3 linked regions of the Elephas maximus indicus genome follow. The protein of the gene in region 1 purifies or fractionates together with the protein of each later gene. This does not show direct contact. Links are inferred from orthologs where the notes say so. Each region holds a gene or a part of one and is shown in the gene's direction. Other genes may lie near its edges.

What was found.
Region 2: the proteins of VTI1B (region 1) and STX6 purify together in Homo sapiens (affinity purification with mass spectrometry; 3 studies listed by BioGRID and IntAct, counting the BioPlex papers as one, with this or other methods). This does not show direct contact. The link is inferred for Elephas maximus indicus from reciprocal best matches to the Homo sapiens genes VTI1B and STX6.
Region 3: the proteins of VTI1B (region 1) and VAMP4 purify together in Homo sapiens (affinity purification with mass spectrometry; 4 studies listed by BioGRID and IntAct, counting the BioPlex papers as one, with this or other methods). This does not show direct contact. The link is inferred for Elephas maximus indicus from reciprocal best matches to the Homo sapiens genes VTI1B and VAMP4.

The regions. Positions count from the first base shown.
Region 1 is NC_064828.1:80,026,178-80,033,806, reverse strand, and holds the start of VTI1B (vesicle transport through interaction with t-SNAREs homolog 1B), read left to right. Parts: upstream 1-4,528; 5' UTR 4,529-4,823; coding exon 4,824-4,938; intron 4,939-7,629. Other genes in the region: RDH11 (retinol dehydrogenase 11), read left to right, coding at 685-787. UniProt on the Homo sapiens protein: V-SNARE that mediates vesicle transport pathways through interactions with t-SNAREs on the target membrane. These interactions are proposed to mediate aspects of the specificity of vesicle trafficking and to promote fusion of the lipid bilayers.
Region 2 is NC_064842.1:44,143,194-44,150,830, reverse strand, and holds the start of STX6 (syntaxin-6), read left to right. Parts: upstream 1-4,634; 5' UTR 4,635-4,984; coding exon 4,985-5,019; intron 5,020-7,637. UniProt on the Homo sapiens protein: SNARE promoting movement of transport vesicles to target membranes. Targets endosomes to the trans-Golgi network, and may therefore function in retrograde trafficking.
Region 3 is NC_064821.1:211,690,997-211,698,189, forward strand, and holds the start of VAMP4 (vesicle-associated membrane protein 4), read left to right. Parts: upstream 1-4,097; 5' UTR 4,098-4,281; intron 4,282-4,689; exon of another isoform or gene 4,690-5,232; intron 5,233-6,239; exon of another isoform or gene 6,240-6,283; intron 6,284-7,171; 5' UTR 7,172-7,193. UniProt on the Homo sapiens protein: Involved in the pathway that functions to remove an inhibitor (probably synaptotagmin-4) of calcium-triggered exocytosis during the maturation of secretory granules.

The DNA.
Region 1 (7,629 bases):
GTTGTTTATGAAGCTGGCTTTACTTGTCATACTAGCCTAAAAACAGTTCTATAACTGCAGGTAGGCTAGAAACAAAAAGTGTTTTTTTCCCAATGTAAGCATTGGTGACCTGTGCAAATAGCAGAATCGCAGCTAGATGACACTGTACAAGGCCCTATAGAATGGACCTTACAGACTTAATTTGAAAAAGGCAGACACACACAGGTGTCAGACACTGATACAATGATTAGGTATGTATATACAAAGAGGACTATAAAGACTAAATGATATGCATTATGTATCAAACAAAACATTCTCCTCCTGTCTAGTGAGGAGGTCTAAAAATAGTAATTATATTTTCTGTGGGGTAATGATTGGAGGATCAAGACACAAACCCTATTCATTGAATACTTGTACTAGATTCAGGGAATACAAACGTGAGTAAGAGGATCATCCTTAAGGAAATTTTCTGGGTGGGTCAGAGTTAGGATACCCCTCCTGCTTTTAATGGGGACTTTCTTAAAATAAGTGGAACTATTTTATAGCATTCAGAAGGAAGACAGACACCAACCCTGTGAAGCACCTAGAGGTGCTTCTTCCCTAGGTCTCATCCCTGGGTAGTTTTTCTGTCTTATTCCTTAACCCAGGCAGAGAGCAGACTCCATCCTTCACACTGTGCTTTACGCCCCTCTCTTTCTTTTTCAGTGACTGCCAGGTGGCCCGGGTCTCTGCCCAGGCTCGAAATGAGACAGTAGCACGGCGGCTGTGGGATGTCAGCTGTGACCTCCTGGGCATCCCACTGGACTGACAGGTGGTGGCAGCCAGACCTAAGAGCGGACTATTCAGCACCTGCTGTCAAAGCGACTCTCCTTCTAGGTGGCCAAAAGGGAGCAAAACCTTCCAGCCTTGCCTGCTTGATGTCCAGTAAAAGCCTGGTACACTGCCAGATTTGTCTAAATGCTTTTCATTTGTCTAGGCTGATTTTGCTCCTGATATTACCAGAGTTACTAGAGATGTCATAGGATGAGAAAGCCCTCATAGGACCTGCACAGCTCATCTTTTCCATCAGAAACCTACTACCTAGAAGAATCCAAGCTATGGGAGGGTTGACTCATGGGAATTTGGACTAGTTTCTACCGTCTTTATTCACTATGTAGTCCCTGCCAACCAGTCAATCTTCACTTCAAGAGAGCCACACTGCAGCCTCAGCTCAACCCCAGGAGTCACAGTGGCTTGGCTAAAGAATAGGGATTATCTCTCACCTCTTTAATTAAACCACCATTGCACCAATATCTAGAGTCTTTCAGAAAACTCTTAACTGAATCTGGATTAAGGCGTGGCCTGATCTCTGACAACCTGGAGCCACTCTTGTTAGGACACTTTCCCACATCTACACTGTAGAACTGCCTTTTCTAAGAAGGTTGTGGGGTTTGGTTTTAATTTGGGGGGTGGCAGAAATAAAGGTAAAGTTTGGAATGTCATTCTGCAGTTTCTCAGACCAGCAAGGAGAGGATAAAGGGGACAGTATGAAAAGACAGGCCACCTGATTTTCGTTACTGACTCCTTTCTGTGCTTAGAAAACTAGAAGGAGGGAACGGATATTTGGTCATTCTTAACTGAATATATCTTTGTGTGTGTTCCTGTATAACTATGCAATTGGGAGTATTTGCGCAAAATTCAAAACAGCCATAGAGGAATAGTATTAAACTGAGCCCTGGTGCAGGTAAATGATCAGAGATGGAGCAAACCACTTCATTTGGTCTTCAATGCAAACGGGTAGAGCTGCAAAGCAAAGCAGACCCTGCATATGTTGGTAACTACCTACCAGAAAAGCAAATGGATAACAGGAAAGAAGTCCAAAAAAGAAGCATCCTGGGAGATAATGCAAGCAATGGAGGGACTAATTGAAGATACAAAACAAACAAACAACAAGAACAAGAAAACGCTGTAAAAGAATTGAGAGAGCACCTAAGTTAGCAAGACTGATGAGGTGCTGTCTTAACTAGCACCAGTCAAACAGTGTGGCAGGAAAAAAACCCAAAACAAAACCAAAAAAATACCCAATTCCTATACAGAAAAATTATCTTAAGAACTGGTACTGGTGACTACATCCAATTTTAGGACATTTCCTTACATTATCTTGACAAGGTTAAAACGTCAATTTGTTTAAAAAAAAAATCTGTATTTGGAGAACTTTTATCAAAAGAAATGCTGCCAAAGGAAGTCAGAGGAATTGGTAATGTTCCTATCACTTGTTTGGAGTACGATACTGCAACAGAATTTGTGACTTTCTTGGACTGATAATTTATATGTTTAACTTTGGTGGATGAAAATAGTTATAGGACCACAATCTTCATTTCTTACTACAGTCATGCGCCACATAATGTCCATTTGGGCAAAGTCCAACCACATATATGTCCCATAAGATTATAATAGTTGAGAAATCCCAATCGGAGAACGGGACGTAGCAAACATAACTGGACATAGCCAGTGCAACAGCTTACTGCACACAATGTGTATATGGCATGTCTCTTGTACATAAAGCAATTGTGCTGCCAGGTGTATAATGGTACAGTGCATATATAACCTCTAATACATGTTTTGATAGTCATAGTAAATGCCTGTGTTAGTGGCTTATGTATGTACTACACTGTACTTTCTATCATCCCTAGGTTATAAACAACCCCTGTAAAGCCTATTATATTAAAAATTTGAGGTACACAGTGATTCGTAATAACACATGGGTGCTACTTTGCAATGCACATCAAAACATTACTATTACTCTATTGTTATGTTAAAGATGTTTTAGTGTATCTGGAAGTGTTTCTTTAATGTTTTTTATCCATAGAAAGGTAGACTATATATTATGACAAACACTTGACTAACTGATGTTAGATACAAACCATAACTAACCGTGCCAACTTAATGTACAAATTTGACTTTAAGTTGTACAAATTTAACTTAAAGACACTTAGGAACGGAACTTGTTTGTAATCCGGGGACTGCCTGTATATAATACGGTGTTCACACAATGATCAAATCACATAACATCCTATTGTATCATGGGTGTTAAGTGATGCATGACTGTGTTTGTAAATTAATAATTTTTGGTTGAAATTGTTTTGAGACCATTGAACTACATAAGTAGAAAGGGTCATATTATGGAAAAGCTAGAAATCTTTTGATGATAGTGTAGTAGAATAACTGAATTAATATCTTATTTATATTGAATGGTCAGTGGCAAATAAAAATTTTTTGATTATTTTTCATGTTTTTATTTACCAAAATAAAAACTCTGAGAATTAAGCAAAAAAAAACACTTTTCGTTATTATAGTTATGTAACCATTTCTCATCCTAAAGGATAATTTGTTCCAGAGTTTAATTACAATACAATCTCAAGTGGCCATTAATTTTCGTTTTGTGATCATCTGATTATTCATTTCATCCAATTCCCACTTATTTTTTATAACACTGTTTAAAAATCACTTTTACCCAGGTTTCCTTATCGTCCCAGGCTGTAGTCTCTCCTTTTTGCGCTGCCCCTTTATTCCCTTAGCACAATATGTTACAGCATTGTGAGACTTACTACAGTACAGTGCCACCAACAACCTCAGACTTTGTCATTTCTCTGTGCTCAGTGCATATCAGGAGCTCTTGTTGAATCAGTGGCCAGTGAACTCAATCTAAAATAAGGATCTAAGAGATATAAATCACCAAATCATTTCCCCCTGAACATTCATAAGCTTTTTAATGTTCATGGGCAGTTTAAATATTTCAGAATGTGCTCCGTAGGCAAACCATGAAATCAGTGAATTTCCTGCCACTGAACCATTTGTACCCATAAAGTATTTCCTTATGCCCATGGAGTGCGGGGAACTACATTAACACATTTAAAATCCACTCTTAGTGGCAGACGAGACCTGATGAAGCCAGGTCCAACTTCCCCACCAGATTATAAAGTACTAAAGAGTAGAGAGTAAATTCGTTTTATTCACCAACTTATTATGCCCAAATCCCTGCACAGTGCCTTCGCTTACCCCCTGTGGAGTGAACGTATGTACCCGGCAGCCTGCTGCACTAGGCAAGCACAGCCGTTAGAGATTGAGTGCAGACTTCAGGATCACATTGTCCGGGTTCCTTCTGAAAGCATATGACCCTGCCATAAGTCACCTGACCTCTTCAGTGAAAGTGCTGTACCGGCAAAGGTAAAGCTTTCGAGGGCTGAAAGCTAAAATTCTAGTCAGGACGTACCCCGAGAGCGGCAGGATAGCAGGTGAAGTGCGATAACGCTGAAGACAACGCCCGGATACCAAACCCTGAGAGTCAGGAGCCGCCCCTGGCGGAACCGCCCGTCTCTAACGACGCGTCACGCCTGAGTCGGAGCGTTTCCCACGCCGAACTACAGCTCCCGGCATGCACTGCAGCGCCCGCCCCTCGCCAGCCGGCGGGGCCCGGGAGGAAGGCTGGCCCTGCTGCCCGTCCAGCAGGTCTACCCGGGACCTTCCACTGTGACGCTTTCCCCAACCCTGGATCGGGTATTTCCGGGACTCGGGGACTGAGGTTCGTCCCGGTGTGGCACTGGTCCTCCGGCACCCGTCTGGGCTGCGCAGCTCGCCGGCTTTTCCGTCAGGCATTCACTCCTGGCGCTCGCAGGACGATGGGGAAGAGGGAGTGGGCGTTCCGGCTCCGGAGGACCCCGCTGCTGGCCCCGGAAGCGCCTCGTCCTGGGCGGTGGGGGCGGCGGCCGCAGTGATGGCTGCGGGGCTCGGTGGTTGACCGGTGGAATAGGAGTGGGCCCCGCACCCAGAATCTCGGCGCCCGCTGCTCAAGCGCGGTTTGCACCATGGCCACCTCCGCCGCCTCCTCAGAGCATTTCGAGAAGCTGCACGAGATCTTCCGCGGCCTCCATGAATACCTACGAGGGGTGCCCGAGCGGCTCCTGGGGACGGCGGGAACCGGTGAGGCAGGGGCGGGCCGGTCCTGTGGGAGCTTGGCCCCTCGCGCTCTTGGCGAAAGAGCCCCCACCCTTGTACCAGACCTGGGTTCTCTTCTCTCTGCGCCCCATCACAGACATTCCCCCCCGGTCCTGGCAGGGTCACTGCGCCCTGAATATCCCTGCTGTCATTTCGGGTGGGTCGGAGACGTTCTCAGGGATGGGCCTCAAAGTGTCGTTTCCCTGAGATCCTTTCTCTTGATCTTCTCGTGGCCCTCTCAAAAATTTCTCGCCTTATGTTTATCACTATGGCAATTAACATCACAGGGGTTCTTAAACCTACAGTCCTGTGTTTTAGTAGCACTGTTCTTTTTCTGTAACTATTTTGTTTTATGCGGTTTAAAACATTTTCTTTAAGAGAGATGCACAGTTTTCATCAGATTGGCAAAGGATACGTGGCTCGAAAAAGGTTAAAAACGCAGAGGAGTCATAAATTTGAGAGTTATTTGGGGAAGTTGGTAAATACCAGTTTCTGTTGTTCTTTTGCCGGGGAGGGTGGAGTTTACATGTTCCTATAATGAATTTCTGTCTGCTTAGACCATCCCCTGCCCCTTGATTTCACGATTCAGGTTGCTGCAAGCTCTGCCTGGAGGAACTGGAATTTTCTAGTTAAATCTATAGGCAGACCTGGCTTGCCAGAATGGTCTTGTTGGCATCAAGGCTAAGACTTTGTGTATTGTTTTGAGTGTCTCTGCTGAGAATGAGTGAGGCGTTGGTTTAGTGGTAGAATTCTCGCCTTCTATGCGGGAGACCCCGGTTGGATTTTCCAGCGAGTACACTTCATGCACAAGCACATCTGTCAGTGGAGTCTTGCCTGTTGCTCTGATGCTGAACAGGTTTCAGTGGAGCTTCTAGACTAAGGCAGACTAGGAAGAAAGGCCTGGTGATGTACTTCTGAAAATCAGCTAGTGAAAACCCTTATGGATCACAACGATCCAGTCTGTAGTCTGTCATGGGGACGGTGTAGCACCGAGCAGTGTTTCATTCTGTTGTTCATGGGATCCCCATGAGTAGGGGCCAACAGTGGGGATGAAATTCATGTACTTGATTAACAAGTATTTACTGAGAAGCACTGTCCAGATGTTGGTAATAACAGGCAGCATTAAGAGCTGTACAGAAAAATAAAGCAGAGTAAAGGAATAGTGAGGGAAGCAGTGATTTTAAGTAGGGTGGCTGCAGGGGCAGATTATCCAATAGGCAAGGTAAGCACTGTGCATACCTTGCTTACCAGATCATCTGTAATGAACAATTTCACACTTTTTCACAACATCAAAGATTCTGCTTCTAGCTATGGCTGGCATCTGTATCTCTCTCCTAACCCCACAGCACCTTCCTACAGAATCAAAGGTTCTTCTTAAATTTACAATCTCTGACAGGGGTGGATGACCCAGTAAGGAAGGTAAGCATGGCCTTACTTGTGCATATTTACTAATCTATCTGTAGTAAACAACTTCCAATGGGTTTTACCACCGGTTTGATGTGGCGAAACCCATGTGAAATTGTTCCCTACAGATGATCTCGTAAGCACCATCCTTGCCTTGCTTTTTGGATAATCTGCCCCAGAGTGGCTTGGGCAGATTATTTGTATTAACCTGACTTCCAGGGAATTTCTGATGCACGCTGAAGTTTGAAAGCCACCGAGCTAGAACACGAGCTTTATATTTTGTCTGTCTGTTTTTCATGTGTCTTAAGCACTTGGAAGAGCGTCTAGCATATAGTAGGAATTTCACAAATACATGAAGGATTGAATGTATACTGTGAACTGTTGGGAAGGAGATGCTAATATATGATTGGGTATTGAAAAAGCGTGGTTTTATTTCTACTCTACTGTGTTTTCCATATTTTTATTACTTTTAAAATGGACATATGCACCTGTTAGAACAACAAAAAAGATCTTTACTTTCCCAAGTACAGTCTTCATTCAGTTTCTGCCTTTGAAGAATGGCAGACACGGTGTATCCTGTTTTAGGATGTTTGTGTGGCTTTGCAGTCCATTTAGCGTATATGATAATTATTAATCCACTCAGTATTAAGCACCTACAGCCATAATTTCTAGTCTTGGTTTTGCAACGTCTGAAGAGGTCTCTCCAAATACTTCAGAAAAAAAACAAACCAAACCATTGCTCTCAAGTCGATTCTGATTCTATAGAACAGAGTAGAACTGCCACGTAGGGTTTGCAAGGAATGGCTGGTGGATTCGAACTGCCAACATTTTGGTTAGTGGCCGTAGCTCTTAACCACTACATCACCAGGCTTCAGATACCTCAGAGTGCTGTAAAATTTCTTAATACAGTTAATATGTTAAGTGCCTAGAGCTATAATTTCTAGTTTCAGTTTTGTAGCACCTGAAGGTGTGTCTCCACGTGTTTTCGTGTTAAAATTATTGAAAGTTTTTCAATTTACTTAAATTTCAGTAATTTTATGACACTAATACGTGGAAACAGAAAAAAAATCACTATAGAGTACCATATGCAGCAGCTTGGTAGACACCAATTACTCACTGACAGCAGAATTTTAATTATTCCAACTTTCTTCATATTTTTTGGTGAGTTTTGTTTTTACTCTTAAATCTCTTTCCCTAAGAATTTATTTTCAAAAACAACGGTGCTTGGTATTTAATGAACCCTTACTATGCCTGGCACTTGTTAAGTACTTT
Region 2 (7,637 bases), on another chromosome or scaffold:
TCAGGAACATAATACACAAAGAAATAAGAGGTCATTAAGAAGACAGAAAAGAAAGAAAAGACGAAAATGATGTCAGAAGAGTCTCTGAAACTTGCTCTTGAATGTGGAGCAGCTAAAGCAAAAGGAAGAAATAATGAAATAAAAGAACTGAACAGAAGATTTCAAAGGGTGACTCCACAAGACAAAGTAAAAAAAAAGTATTATGATGACATGTGCAAAGAGCTGGAGTCAGAAAACCAAAAGGGAAGAACACACTCAGCATTTCTCGAGCTGAAAGAACTGAAAAAAAAAAAAATTCAAACCTCAAGTTTCAATAGTGAAGGATTCTATGGGGAAAATATTAAACGAGACAGGAAGCATCAAAAGAAGATAGAAGGAATACACAGAATCATTATACCAAAAAGAACTGGTTGACGTTGAACCATTTCAAGAGGTAGCGTATGATCAGGAACCGATGGTACTAAAGAATGAAGTCCAACCTGCACTGAAGGAAAAAAAAAAAAAGCACTGGTGAAAAACAAGGCTCCAGGAATTGACAGAATATCAATTGAGATGTTTCAACAAATGAATGCAGCGCTGGAAGTGCTTACTTGTCTATGCCAATGTTAAGAAATTTGGAAGACAGCTTCCTGGCCAACCGACTGGAAGAGATCCATATTTATGCCTATTCCCAAGAAAGGTGATCCAACCGAATGTGGAAATTATCGAACAATATCATTAATATCAGATGCAAGCAAAATTCTGCTGAAGATCATTTAAAAACGGCTGCAGCAGTATATTGACAGGGAACTGCCAGAAATTCAGGCTGATTTTAGAAGAGGATGTGGAACCAGGGATATCACTGGTGATGTCAGATAGATTCTGGCTGAAAGCAGAGAATACCAGAAGGATGTTTTCCTGTGTTTTATTGACTATGCAAAGGCATTCAACTGTGTGGATCATAATGAATTATGGATAACATTGCAAAGAATGGGAATTCCAGAACACTTAATTGTGCTCATGAGGAACCTTTACATAGATCAAGAGGCAATTGTTTGGACAGAACAAGGGGACAACGCGTGGTTTAAAGTCAGGAAAGGTGTGCGTCAGGGTTGGGTCCTTTCACCATACCTATTTGATCTGTATGCTGAACAAATAATCTGAGAAGCTGGTCTATATGAAGAAGAATGGGGCATCAGGATTGGAGGAAGACTCATTAACAACCTGCGTTATGCAGATGACACAACCTTGCTTGCTGAAAGTGAAGAGGACTTGAAGCACTTACTAATGAAGATCAAAGACGACAGCCTTCAGTATGGATTGCACCTCAACATAAAGAAAACAAAAATCCTCACAACTGGACCAATGAGCAACATCGTGATAAATGGAGAAAAGATTGAAGTTGTCAAGGATTTCAATTTACTTGGATCCACAATCAACAGTCATGGAAGCAGCAGTCAAGAAATCAAAAGATGCATTGCATTGGGCAAATCTGCTGCAAAGGACTTCTTCAAAGTGTTGAAGAGCAAAGATGTCACCCTGAAGACTAAGGTGCACCTGACCCAAGCATCATGTGCATGCGAATGCTGGACAGTGAATAAGAAAGACAAAAGAATAGTTGACACCTTTGAATTGTGGTGTTGGCGAAGAATATTGAATATACCATGGACTTCTTAGAAGAGGATAACCAGAACGCTCCTTAGAAGCAAGGATGGTGAGACTGCGTCTTACATAACTAGGACATGTTGTCAGGAGGATATAGTCCCTGGAGAAGAACATCATGCTCGGTAAAGTGCAGGGTCAACGCAAAAGAGGAAGACCCTCAACGAGATGGATTGACAAAGTGGCTGCAACAATGGGCTCAAGCATAGCAACAATTGTGAGGATGGTGCAGGACTGGACAGTGTTTTGTTCTGTGGCCCATAGGGTCGCTATGAGTGGGAACCGACTCAACAACACCTAACAACAACAACAACAACACAACCCTGGTGGTATAGTGGTTAAGAGTTAGGCTGCTAGCTAACTAGCAGTTTGAATCCACCAGGTGCTCCTTGGAAACTCTATGGAGCAGCTCTACTTTGTCCTATAGAGTTGCTATGAGTCAGAATCGACTCAACGGCAACAGGTTTTTGTTTTTTTTTAACGACAACTGAAGAGCTCAGCTGCAAACCCAAAGGTCGGCAGTTCCAACCCACCATTGGCTCTGAGGGAGAAAGATATGGTAGTCTGCTTCCACAAAGATTACAGCATTGGGAACCCTACAGGGCTGCTGTGAATTGGAATCGACGCAACAGCAATGGTTTGTGTTTTTTTTTATTACTCCCCCCCCAAAAAACTTTTTATTACTAGATATTATAATTAGTAGGTTTTTTTCCAAATTACTGAAGTTTTATGATTCCATGGTTTATGTTTTTATCATTTGAACACATCATTTCTGTTCTATTAAGTCCATTCACTGTTGGTAGATACTCCAGGTCACCTGGCCTCCCATTGAGAACATTTAATCAAAGTCTTATATGCCCCAAATCCTCGCAAAACAGAGCTCTGGGATGAAAAAACTCATAGTTATTAATCCAGTTAGTGGCAAAGCATTGGTCTTTAAGGTCCAAAGATCTCTAACCAGCAAGGGCAGATGGGGGATAGGGTGGCACAATGACACTGTTTGAATCTGATTTTCCTGAGTCCCTCCTTTCCAGACTGCCTGGATAACAAGCCTCCTTTCCTTAAGAGCAGAATGAATCTACTCTTTTATTTGGTCTACAAGACCTCTGTGGCAAAGATGAAGATTGTAGTTTGAAACTCATATTACTACCCTGAAGGAGTGGTCAGAATACCATGGTGACAATTACCCTGATGGCAGAGACTTGGAGATTTAGCCAGAACACTGGCCACAGGACAGGAAGCACCCCAGGCCAGCCTCAGCTGGACTCCCACCACTTTCCTGAATGGGCCACAGCAATCTTTTGGAATCCTCTGCAGCAAACCTTTCTCTTCTTCCCTGTCCCTACAAAGGCAGAAACAGCAAGGAGCAAATCTCTGAGCTCCATCCTTGTATTCTGGCAGGACTAGTGCCTACCGATCTGACTCCTCCCTTTAAGAAGCTAGGATTTGGTTTCTTAGTTAAAGTTCAACATTGAAAAGATAGCAACTTCGTTTACTCACAAGTTCAGGCCAATCTCAGGCAGATGGGTTAAGGCGGGGGCAAGCGTGAGAGGGCTATTTTAACCTTATCCAGGTCAAAAGTAGGTCACGTAGGAAATCTTTAAGATCGATATGGCACTCAGGCCCCTCTCTTGGTTGGTCGTAAGCCATGTGTTTGATCTGGATTTCCTTGGTTGCCCTCAGGCCCTAACTAGACCAAGCTTCCCAGAGCCAAGACGAGTGCTCATTATTTCTTAGCCCTTTGGACTAGTGGCCAATCTGTCACTATTCCGAACTTCCTTGTCCCTTTCCAGCCTGCACTGATGTCCCCAGAGAATTGGGGCAGCAGTGGGCCAGACGCAGATGAGACGGAGTAAGTGGTTGGTCATTGTGCCCTGGACAAGCATCCCATTACATGCGCAGAAATTAATTCATTAAACTCCCTTGGGAACCGTATCTACTCCTAGGAACTGAATAAGAGAACTTAGCTTTAACAGAGTTTGGCTCCAAAGGACTCTGCCATCTCCAAAGAAACTGGTGACCTTGGCAAATCATTAACATCCCTGTGTCTCAGACTCCTCATCTGTAAAATGAGGATAATAACAGTATTTGCCTCATTGTGAGAGTAAATGAGATAACACTAAGGACAGTGGCTCACACTCAGTAAATGTTCAATGAGCAAACCCAAACCTGCTGACGTCGAGTCAATTTCTGACTCATAGCAACCCTATAGGACAGAGTAGAACGGCCCCATAGGGTTTCCAAGGCTGTAAATCTTTACACAAGATTTCTTCCTTGGAATGGCTGGTGGGTTCCCACCACCGAACTTTCAGTTAGCAGCCGAACTCTTTAACCACTGTGCCAACAGGGCTCCACAATCCCCCTCCACAAACCTCGTAGCATATCTGCCGTATGAAGTTGCCTAATAGTTTGGCCAAATTCCTTCTGAAAGAGCTCTGGAACCACAGTTGAGAGGAAGTTGCCATACACCTGGCATTTTCTTAGCCCCTCAAAGCCTCTCTCTCCTAGGAAGCACCATATGCTGTCTGAAAATTTTTTCCTATGTGGTCATTTGCAGAATGTACAGCAAAATACACCCCAGTCTGGTGGATAGTGTACGGAATCTGTCCAGCCTGTGAGACCACAGCAAATCTTGAAACCTCTCTGAATTTATCTACAAAATGGGAATATTACCTTCGCCACAAGTATATTGAGATAACGCATATCCAGCCTTTAACACTTGCCTGACACGAGGTAAGACCTACATAAACAAATTGTGTCACATTATCATAGCCAGATAATGTATATGAACATGTTTGTTGAGGATGAGACACAACTACTGCTTACTCTGAAAACAAGCCTGCCTTTCTCTATGGGTACAAACGTTTCCTCCCCCTCAGCCGGAGGGTAGAAGCCTGAGAAAACAGCCCTTGCTCCGCCCCCCCAGAGCCCCGCCTCCACGGTCGTGTGACGCTTTGCCCTGGCCCCGCCGACGAGGGGCGGGGCTTGTCTTGGACACGTGAGCGCGGGTGCGGAAGTAGTGCTGTGGGCAGCGTTCGTGGTTGGCCGCCACCAAGGGTCCCGGGGCGGGGTCAGGCCTGCCGGACGCGCCGGGAGGAGCCCGGGGAGGAGGCTGCCGCGGGGGCCGGCTCCAGAGTCTGGGATTCGCTTCTCGACGCCGACTGAGCGCTGGACCTGCGGCCGTCCGGTGCACCCGCTCCTGCGCGCGCGCTCGCTGCTCTGGATCCTCCAGGCCGAGGCGCCGGCGGCTGCGGGAGGCCGGTGGATTGGGCGGAGGAAGGCCAGGAGGGCGCGGGCGCCCTGTGCTCTGATCAAGCGTGAGGCGGCCGGGGGCCGGGACGCCATGTCCATGGAAGACCCCTTCTTTGTGGTGAAAGGGTGAGTGTCGGCGAGGGCTCTAGTGCAGAGGGGCGGCTGTGCTGCCTGCCTGCACTTCTCTGCTCCCCTGGCTGTAGGGGGAGGGAAGCAAGTTGAGGCTGGGGAGGGGACAGTGGGGACGGCTTAGCCTCGAGAGCCATGACCAAGCGTCCAGAGACACCCCCTCCCCGCCCTACCTGGACGGTGAAACCTGCGCTTCCATCCAAGCCCCTGGTAGGGGCCTCCCTTGGGCCTGTTCGCTGCAATACAACTTCTCTTGGCGTCAGGGGGTTCAGCAGCGCTGCAGGTGGGGAGAGGCACAGGCCCTAGCTAAAACAGGGGTGGTAGTCGAGCTTGGCACTCTGCTTCGAAGGAGGGAAAACAGCATCTGGGCAGGAAAAGGGAAATGGACCTCCTGAGCTTTGTAGTTAGCGTTGACGGGGGTGAGCTCCCATTGTCCATTGAGTTTGGAGCGCTCGCCCGCAGACCGGTGACACCACAACCTGCCCAGAGGCGGCCGAGCACGTTTGGAGGGAGGGAGGCGGGGGCGGGTGTTGATGTGCGAGACTGGGGAGCTTTGCACCGGAAGACAGCTCAATTCATTGGGGGAGTTTTTACTGAGCAACGTGATGAGAGGAAAACAGTCGTTCATACCCAGTGATGGTGTTGGAAGGAAAACAAAATGAAATCAGCCAAACTAAACTTTCAGCTCTCTATTAGCAACCGGGATTTTCCCACACTGCTAAAGGAAATGAGTGGTTTCTTTTAACTCCGTGATTTCAACGAGGCTGTTTGACAGGTTCCCCCCACCTCTTCTTCTGCTTTTCAGAATGGAACTGCCTTACTTTATTTTTCCCTATTAGCTGTCAGGACTCCATCTTTGGAGACAGAAACTTAAATTTCACTTTGTTTTATCAACTGTATGGCCATTAAACAGATACATGAAAGATCTGATTCTGATATGGTAACTTATTTCTCATAACTTGTCAGCTCTATGTTATACATGTCAAATTTAAACAACAAAAATCTGACAACTACAAAGGTCCGGCAAGATCAGTACTAATAACCATCAAGTACCCCCTTGCTTTCAACCAGTTGTTACTAGCTTCCTGTTTCCGTAGTGGTTAAAGCTAACCAGTTGCTTGGGTGTTCATTGTTTTTGAAGGCCCTGTTATCCTTTATTCTCAGTATATGTAAGTAGTACTTTAGGTAAAATGGAAGCCCTGGTGGCGTAGTGATTATGTGCTGTGCTGCTGGCCTAAAGGTCAGCAGTTCCAGTCCACCAGGTGCTCCTTGGAAACTCTGTGGGGCAGTTCTACTCTGTCCTATAGGGTTGCTATGAGTCAGAATCGACTTGATGGCAAGGGGTTTGTTTAGGTAAAACACTTTATTATCAACGGTACAATATAATTCATTCATACTACTACTTTCCATTTTCCTAGAAAGGTTTTTCTTCCCCTTACTTTAATTTAGGTGGGGAAATACTGAGTTATAGACTTACTAAAAATATGTGGCTCTCTACCCGGAGAATGTGTTGTTTACTAGAAAGATTGGTTTAGGGGTAAATTTAAAATTTTTTAAACTGTGTGTTTTTCTTTGAAAGTCTTTAATGCCTAAGTTGCAAAAGTTATCACTGGCAGTGGAGATCAAAGATGATGATTTTTTTGTTTGATTTTTAATGGAATTTGCAAAAACCCTAAATTGTTTTGCCACCCTGACATTTCCCCCTGATCGTATCCAATACAGTCTACCAATGCTTGTTCATTGATAGGGTATCACTACTTTATTGGAACGTTGGGTTGGAGTTTTGGTTGACATTTCTTAGTATATCATTTTAGCTCCTGCTCTTAAGGTAGTCGGAAGGAAAAGAGACTCGATACCTTCTACAGTGGAAAGGTAAAGTCAGCCATATGGGTGTCTCCAAATTGTTTGTGTGATGGCATATTTGGGGAGCCTTGTACTTCCGTTGGAGCCCTGGTGGCATAGTGGTTAAGAGCTTGGCTGCTAACCAAAAGGTCGGCAGTTTGAATCCACCAGCTACTCCTCAGAAGTCCTATGGGGCAGTTCTGCTCTGTCCTATAAGGTCGTTATGAGTGGGAATTGACTTGATGACAATGGGTTTGGTTTTTGTGTTTTTTTTTTTTTGATACCTCCATAGGGTCAGAATTGACTTGATGGCAACACGTTTGGTTTTTTTTGGTTTGTACCTCCATTTACTAAATGTGTTGAAAATGTACTATGCAATGTGGAAAAATTAAAGTCACCTAAGTTATGGCTCTTAGCCTAGGAGTTTACAGTTTAATCTGGGAAACAGCTTACTCCCAAACTAAGTAGAAATGACAAGCAGTAGATGATTAAGTGCTGAAGTGATTGCTGCAGAATAGTGCCCCAGAGTTCAGAGAAAGGCAACTCACTAGAAATTGTTGTGGTTGGAAAAACTGTCTGGAGGTAGTAGTAGGTCTCGAAGGAGCCCTGGTAGTACAGTGATTAACGCTTGACTACTAACCGAAAGGTTGGCAGTTTGAACTGACCAGCCACTCCGCAAGAGAAAAACGTGGCAGTCTGCTTCCATAAAGATTACAGCCTTGGAAACCCTATGGGGCAGTTCTGTGCCCTGTAGTGTCACTATGAGTCAGAAA
Region 3 (7,193 bases), on another chromosome or scaffold:
CTGCTGGTGGATTCAAACTACCAACTTTTTGGTTAGCAGCCAAGTTCTTAACCACTGCGCCACCAGGCCTCCATAACTACAAGTACAATATTATTTTCCTATGAAAACTAAATTGATAAAGGTGAACAATAAAAATCCATACTAATGGAAGATACTTACTGGTACACCAGTGTTCATAGTAGTGTTATTCACAATGGCCAAAAGGCAGGAACAACCCAATTGCCCATCAATAAATAAATGTACAGTGAAACATGTGAGAGCTGGAACTAGAAGGGACTGCCTTGTTTTTCTGGGTCTCTTAAGTTTTTTGCCTTTGATAATCTTACCACTTTTCTGTATGAGTGGAAAATATTTTAGTTTTCCTGCTCTGACATGTTTTTGCTTTGCACAGATTCCAGTTTTCACAGGTTTTACTGTATAAACAAAATGTGGTCTATACAGAGAATGGAACATTAGTCAGTCATAAAAAGGAATGAAGTTCTGAAACATGCTATAACATGAACTTTGAAAACATTATGCTAAGTGAAATAAGCCAGATATAAAAAAAAAATATCGTATGATTCCGTTTACAGGAAATACTTTGAATAGGCAAATTCTTAAAGACAGAAAGTAGATTAGAGGTTACCAGAAGTTAGAGGGGAGGAGAGAAGGGGAGTTTATTGCTGATGGGCAGAGTTTTGCTTGGATGATGAAAAAGTTTTGAACAACATTGTGATTTCTCAAGTAATGACACTGAATTGTATACTTCAAAATAGTTAAAATGGCAATTTTGTTTTTCATATTTACCACAATCAAATTTTTATAGAATCATTGTAGAATTATGTATGGGTAAGAAAAAACTGTAAAACTTTAGGAAAAATTGTACAAAATCTAGACAGACTTTGCACTCAAATTGATTCAGCGGTGTCTTTGTTTTTGCTCCGCTTTGAAGAAAATGAAACTAGAAATTGTAAACAATGCAATTTGTAATAAAGACAATGGGATGCTCGAACCAGCAGATTCCCGCTTGGTTAAAAAGTCTTGGCCCTACGCCAAAGACTGGTGCACCCCGGCCCAGGTTAATACATGAGGTCTCTAAGTACAGTGTGCCCACTTCACTCACACAGAAGGAGCCAACTCAGTATGAAACATCTCTATTTTATGCTCAGATTACATAGCTGACACGACGTTTTCCAGGGAATCATACCCTTCAAATCCACCTGGGTTCCTAACGCATTTACCACAAACGATCCTAGCCCAGGGGCATGCTGCTAAAGGAAGTCCATACACACGGACTCTCTTGCTAGCAAATGCCATTTAAGAAGTTTAGGTTGCATCTCCTGCTTGCTTGCCGATCTGCTTAACTCTTTCCTTCTCAGTCACTTAGGGACGAAAAGTGATCTTCCACTGTCGATTTACATTTGAGGGATGGTGAACTTTTGTTTATATGCTTATAATTGATTTATATTTTTGTGTTGGATGAGATACGATTGCAACAAAATATTAAAAGCTGGAAAGTAGACGAATCAGTGGTGATCATCTTATTAGACTTGAGAAACACGACTCCTAAGCAGGCCATGAAGCAACCCGATTTATACAGCAAAATTAGAGGACCAAGATCTGAATAACTGGAGTTCAAGAAAGAGAAGATAGGATGAAATAATTCAAGTTGGTAAGGCTGGAACCTAGCACTAACTCCAAAGTTCAGTACTATTTATACCCTTTCAGGATGAGTATATATATTTGTTCCATATTAACTGTAAAATGACACTTTCAAAGCTTTCACGAATGTCAGGGATAGTCAAAGGGACTTTGTTCAGGTGAAAAAAGGTTGGGGCTTGCAGTACTCACCCTTCCCCAAAGAATCATACCCAATGATTGGCAGGATTAAAGAATTATGGTGAAAAAATAAACTAATAAACAAAGAGTGGATCATTCATAGAAGCTATGCAATGACATACCCCCACTGCTCAATAATCATATAACATTGCCTTAAGTTGACAGAGTATGGGCTGAGGGTATAATTGGCTAAAGCTATAATTGGCTGAGGCACCAAAGCAAGAAAGCCCCAATAGACAAGCAGATAAACCCATGAAAACAACTAATCTAATAAAAAGAACATCTGTATGGAAGCCCTGGTGGCTTAGTGGTTAAGAGCTACAGCTGCTAACCAAAAGATTGGCAGTTCAAATCCACCAGGCACTCCTTGGAAACTCTATGGGGCAGCTCTACTCTGTCCTTTAGGGTCACTATGAGTTGGAATAGACTCAGTGGCAATGGGTTCTTTTTTTTTTTTTTTTGGTATCATCTACAGAATCTGGGATAGTCTCACCATCATGCCCAGGCAAAGGAACTATGAGAGGCTTCCGTTCAGTCTAAGTCAGCCTGGTTCTCAAGCAGTAGACTCACAGGTAATGTGTGAGTCTAACACCAGGCTTTCAGGAGCTTCCACCTACAATGCCGTGGCTCACTGTTTCTCACCAATCAATCGGAATCTCAAAGTAGTGCCTGGGCATAAGCGCTTTCTAAAGCTCCCTGGTGATTCAATGTCACATGATTCACCTATGGGTTGAGAGTCTTTGCCCTAGACAATGCATCTTTCAATTTGTTGGTGCATTTTTAAGTCAAAGCAAACACCAACCAAAAGAGCAGCTGGTAAGAGGGTGTCTATTCTTTCCTCTCTTTGTGTCCCAGAGCTTTCCTCCTCTTGTTGTCTCCTCCTTCTTAGACATTCATCCTTATTTTTATGATGTCTTTTTAAAGTGCCTGGCACAGCATTTCAGATCGTTAAAACACAGTATCAGCAAATGACCCATAGATAACTTAAAAAGATGTGTAGTAAACACATGACAGGAAAAAGGAGTAAAACAATCCAGCTGGGCATGTGTGGGAAGAATGGATAAATAAAACAAATAATAGAGAGCAGAGACAACATTAGTTGTTTGTATTAGTATATCCAGCTATTGCAGGCATAGAGGTTTAAATATGACATGAAATGGGGAGGGGAGGAGGTAGTGAACAGAACAGGCATGGTCACCCAGAGGTGATTTCCCACCTGAAACCTGAAGGCTCTACCGTATGTTTGGACTTAATTATTCTAGGTTACAACTAAGATACAAACTGTCTTAGTCATCTAGTGCTTCTATAACAGAAATACCACAAGCGGAGGGCTTCAACAAAGAGAAGTTCATTGTCTCACAAGCCAGTAGGCTAGAAGTCTGAATTCAGGGTGCCGGCTCCAGGCGAAGGCTTTCTCTCTCTCTGTCTGCTCTGGAGGAAGGTCCTTGATGCATCAATCTTCCCTTGGCCTGGGAGCATCTCAGCACAGGAACCTCAGGTCCAAAGGACACGCTCTGCTCCCAGCGCTGCTTTCTTGGCTTATGAGGTTCCTGTGTCTCTCTGCTTGCTTCTTTTATAGCTCAAAGGAGACTGGCATAAGACCCTATCTAATCTTGCAGACCTCATCAATATAACTGCCACTAATTCATCTTATTACATCAAAGCAATAGGGAAATCACATCAGATGATAAAATGATAGACAACCATATAATCATACAAGGGAATCATGATCTAGGCAAGTTGACAGATTTTGGGGGGCGGGCACAACTCAACCCATGATAGAAGGGAGAGAACACTGTCCAAACTAGCTGTGTGAGCTCACAAGTCTCCTCTTTGAACCACAGACTCCTCATACCTAAAACGAGGAGACCCGACTAGCAACCCTCAGCATCTGTTGCCAGGTCTGACTCTGATTCTATGAACAGGGATCAAACGGACTTCCTTCCCTCACAAAAGGCCCTACACAGCCCGAAGCCTTGGGCTGCGAGCCATCCTCCTCTTACTACTCGACTTCCTTTGCGGAGGCTGGGGCGACCCTCTAACCGCATCATCAACCTCAGTCACGAGCACGCCCTCGGCGCCCCACTGCCGCATCCCCCGAGCGCCCTCGCGCGAGCCTGGTCCTGGCTGGGACCTAGAGACCCAGTTGTTCCTCCCCGGAAGTATGCTGTAGTTCCGGGATCCGGGTCTACGCTCGGGCGGCCACAGGTCTGCCCACACAGAGGAGGACCTAATCGACTCTCTCGACGATCTTCGAGTCCTGGCCCCGCCCCCCCGCCCGGCGCCAGGCCGCGGAGCGCCGATGGGCTCGATGAGCCGGGGGCGCCCTGCGGCGGAGCGGCGGGGGACGGGTCTGCGGCCGCTGCCTCGGGCTCCCGCCTTCCTGCCTGCTGCCCGCTCCTTCCCCCGCCCGCCCGGCAGAGCCCGCTCTGGAGAGCCGCCCGAGCTCCCCCACAGCCACAGGTACTGGCGCCGGCGGATCGCCACGGGGGGGCCGGCGTTGGAGGAAGGGAGCGGGGACGACGCCCCTGCCCCGCCTCCCCCAACGTCCGGTCGGAGCGGGCCCCTGGCCGGGGGCGGGGGGCGAGGGAGGCCGGGTCCCGGGGGGCGAGGGGGGGGCGGGGGGCGGGGGGCGGGGGAGGCCGGGGGGCGAGGGGCGAGGGAGGCCGGGACCCGGGGGGCGAGGGGGGGCGGGGGGCGGGGGAGGCCGGGCCGCCGGCGGGGGGCGCGGGCGGAGGGGGCTGAGGGATGGGGGCCGGGGTGCCGCGGGGAAGGTGGGCGAGCCCTGGGGTGTGCGGATGGGGGCGGCTGAGAAGAGGCCCGGGCCCTGAGGGGTGCTCTGGGGGGTGGGAGGACAGCAGTGCCTGGGACGGGGAAGGCTAGGCGGAGCGGGCGGAGCAGGGAGGCCGGAGGCAGCAGCCGCGGTCGGCGGACGGGGTCTGTGCGGCCCCCGGCTGTAGGAAGGGCATGGAGCTGGGGAGAAGGAGCGTCAGCCCTGCGGCGTTTGGACGACGGGGAGGTGGCGTCGGTCATTCACGCTTTGACAGGTTTTGTGACTGGCGTCTCCAGGCTCTGTCCGTCCGAGACACTTTATTTCCGTGAAACTGCACCCACCAAGCCTGCTGACGCGCGAGGAGGGAAGAGGAGGCAGGAAGGGAGTGGAGGCAGAGGAAACGGAAGCCTCTGCTCGGATTCAGGCTTTTTGCCAAGTGAAATACATAGGGTTTTTGCATAAGGCAAAAAAGAAGCCAACATTGATTAAACAACGTGTTAGAAGTTTATTACGTGTAAAACCACTGAATAGGGAAACCACTGGATAGAGAACGTGCCACTTCTTTAAAAATACATATATTAAAATTTCAAGGTACGGCGATGGCATAGGAAGCATATCCTGATGTGACAGTTTTCAGTGAGGTTAGTGGTTGTCTGTCCTAAGTGTTGCAGTAGGTCTTGAAGGCGCTCTTATTTCATATGTACCTAGGCACAAACACCTAATTTCCATGGACTGTTTTGCCGGTGAAATCTTAGAATATGTGCCAGTCTGATTTCTGCGCATGGCTCATTTCTACTGGTTATTTGGTACAAATGTCGTCAGTTGCCCTGATGTATCAGTGTAGCTAATTAATGCCTCCTCCTTTGCTCATGGCTTTTCTGTTTGGCAGACACTGGTTTCTTGCTTTCATGAGCCTGATATTTGGATTATCACACCTGGAAATCATGTTTGCTCATCATTAAACTTGTGGCTTTACCCTATATTTCATAAAGATGTTATGCCAGTCTGTTGTTTGCTTTGGGATGTTGAGGCAGCCCGTTTGTAGGATTTAAAAGGTAAATAAGCACAGGTGTGCATACCTGATATGTATTTATATATATATGTATATGAAGCACCTCAGATTCTTCAGTTGCTTCCTTTGTCATCCATTTTTCCATGCATTCTGAAACATTTCTGCATGAACGAATCATTCTGAAATCAAAGTATGATAAATGGCCAGAGGTACTGACAGAAATATTGTGGAATGAAGAACTCTGCAAGAGTTTGGTTGTTTCAGGTGTTTAAATTCCTACTTCGGAAGCATTTCTTATCCAAGAAAACTGTCTGTGACAATTTATTTTGACAGGAAGCTGATTTAGAATATTAACTTTTATTTGGTTTACGAAAGTGGACTCTGACAGCATTTGAAGATTTTAGAGGCGTTTCTTCTTGTGGGGCTTTTCTGAGGGCTACCTACTGGGTTGTTAGAGGGAAGGCTGCCTTTCTAAAAGAATTTTATAACCTGGTGAGCAACCAATTGAGTAAATATTGAAAGTGATAATGCACAGCCTTAGACTGGTTTAAGCTGATATTTCTGCTATTTAAATGAGTTAAGTGACTAACACTGTTACTTATTTCTAGTAAGCCTCAATTTTCTTTTAATTTCCAGTGCCTGCTTTGAGGGAGTGTTGTAAGGATTAAAAGAAAGTGCAGGTAAACACAGGAGCAGAGTGCCCAGCACGTAGTAAAACATTTAGAACATTTTAGGTGCTCTTGATAATCACCTCCTAAGCCGAGATTCTGAAATCTCGTATTGCGCGTAGGACAGCTTTTTCTCACATAAATGTTGACTATGTTGCATACCCAGGCATTTTTCTGGAAAGTCACAGTGCATATGAGCGCATTAAAGGCTGTGGGAAGTTCTGTAGCAAACAAAACTGCCTTCATTTAACCCAGTCATTACCAAACTTGTCCTGTGCCTTGAATGTTAGAGTTTGCGGAATGTTTTTGCATGTATTATCTAATTTGATCATTCCAACTCCATGCAGAAGCCTAAAAATCACCATTTTACAGAAAAGGAAATGGAATCTTGTTTCAGCAGCTAAAAGCGAGAGAACTAAGACTTCCACTGTTTTCTGACTCCAAGTTAAAATCTTAGAGTCATTATGTTTTAGTTTCAGAGGACCACTTCCTATTTTTCCCTTTTCCGGGACTATTTGCTCTTTTATTTTGCAAAAACCTTAAGTCACTCATTTCCTCTACCCACCCCCCCAAAAAAAAAACCAAACCCAGCGCCATCGAGTCGGTTCTGACTCATAGCGACCCTACAGGACAGAGTAGAACTGCCCCATAGAGTTTCCAAGGAGTGCCTGGCGGATTTGAACTGCCAACCCTTTGGTTAGCAGCTATAGCACTTAACCACTACGCCACCAGGGTTTCCTCATTTCCTCTACAAGTGCTCCTAAGGTTTTAGCTATTTCCCATGGTTTTAGCACCTCATACATGTCGAGGCCCAGCATGAGAGGGGAGTAGTCAGAGTCAAGAGAAGTGAGGCTTACATCCAAAAGTCTCAGATCTGATGAAATTTATTTTCTCTTAAAGGTGGTAAATTGTTACTCTACTG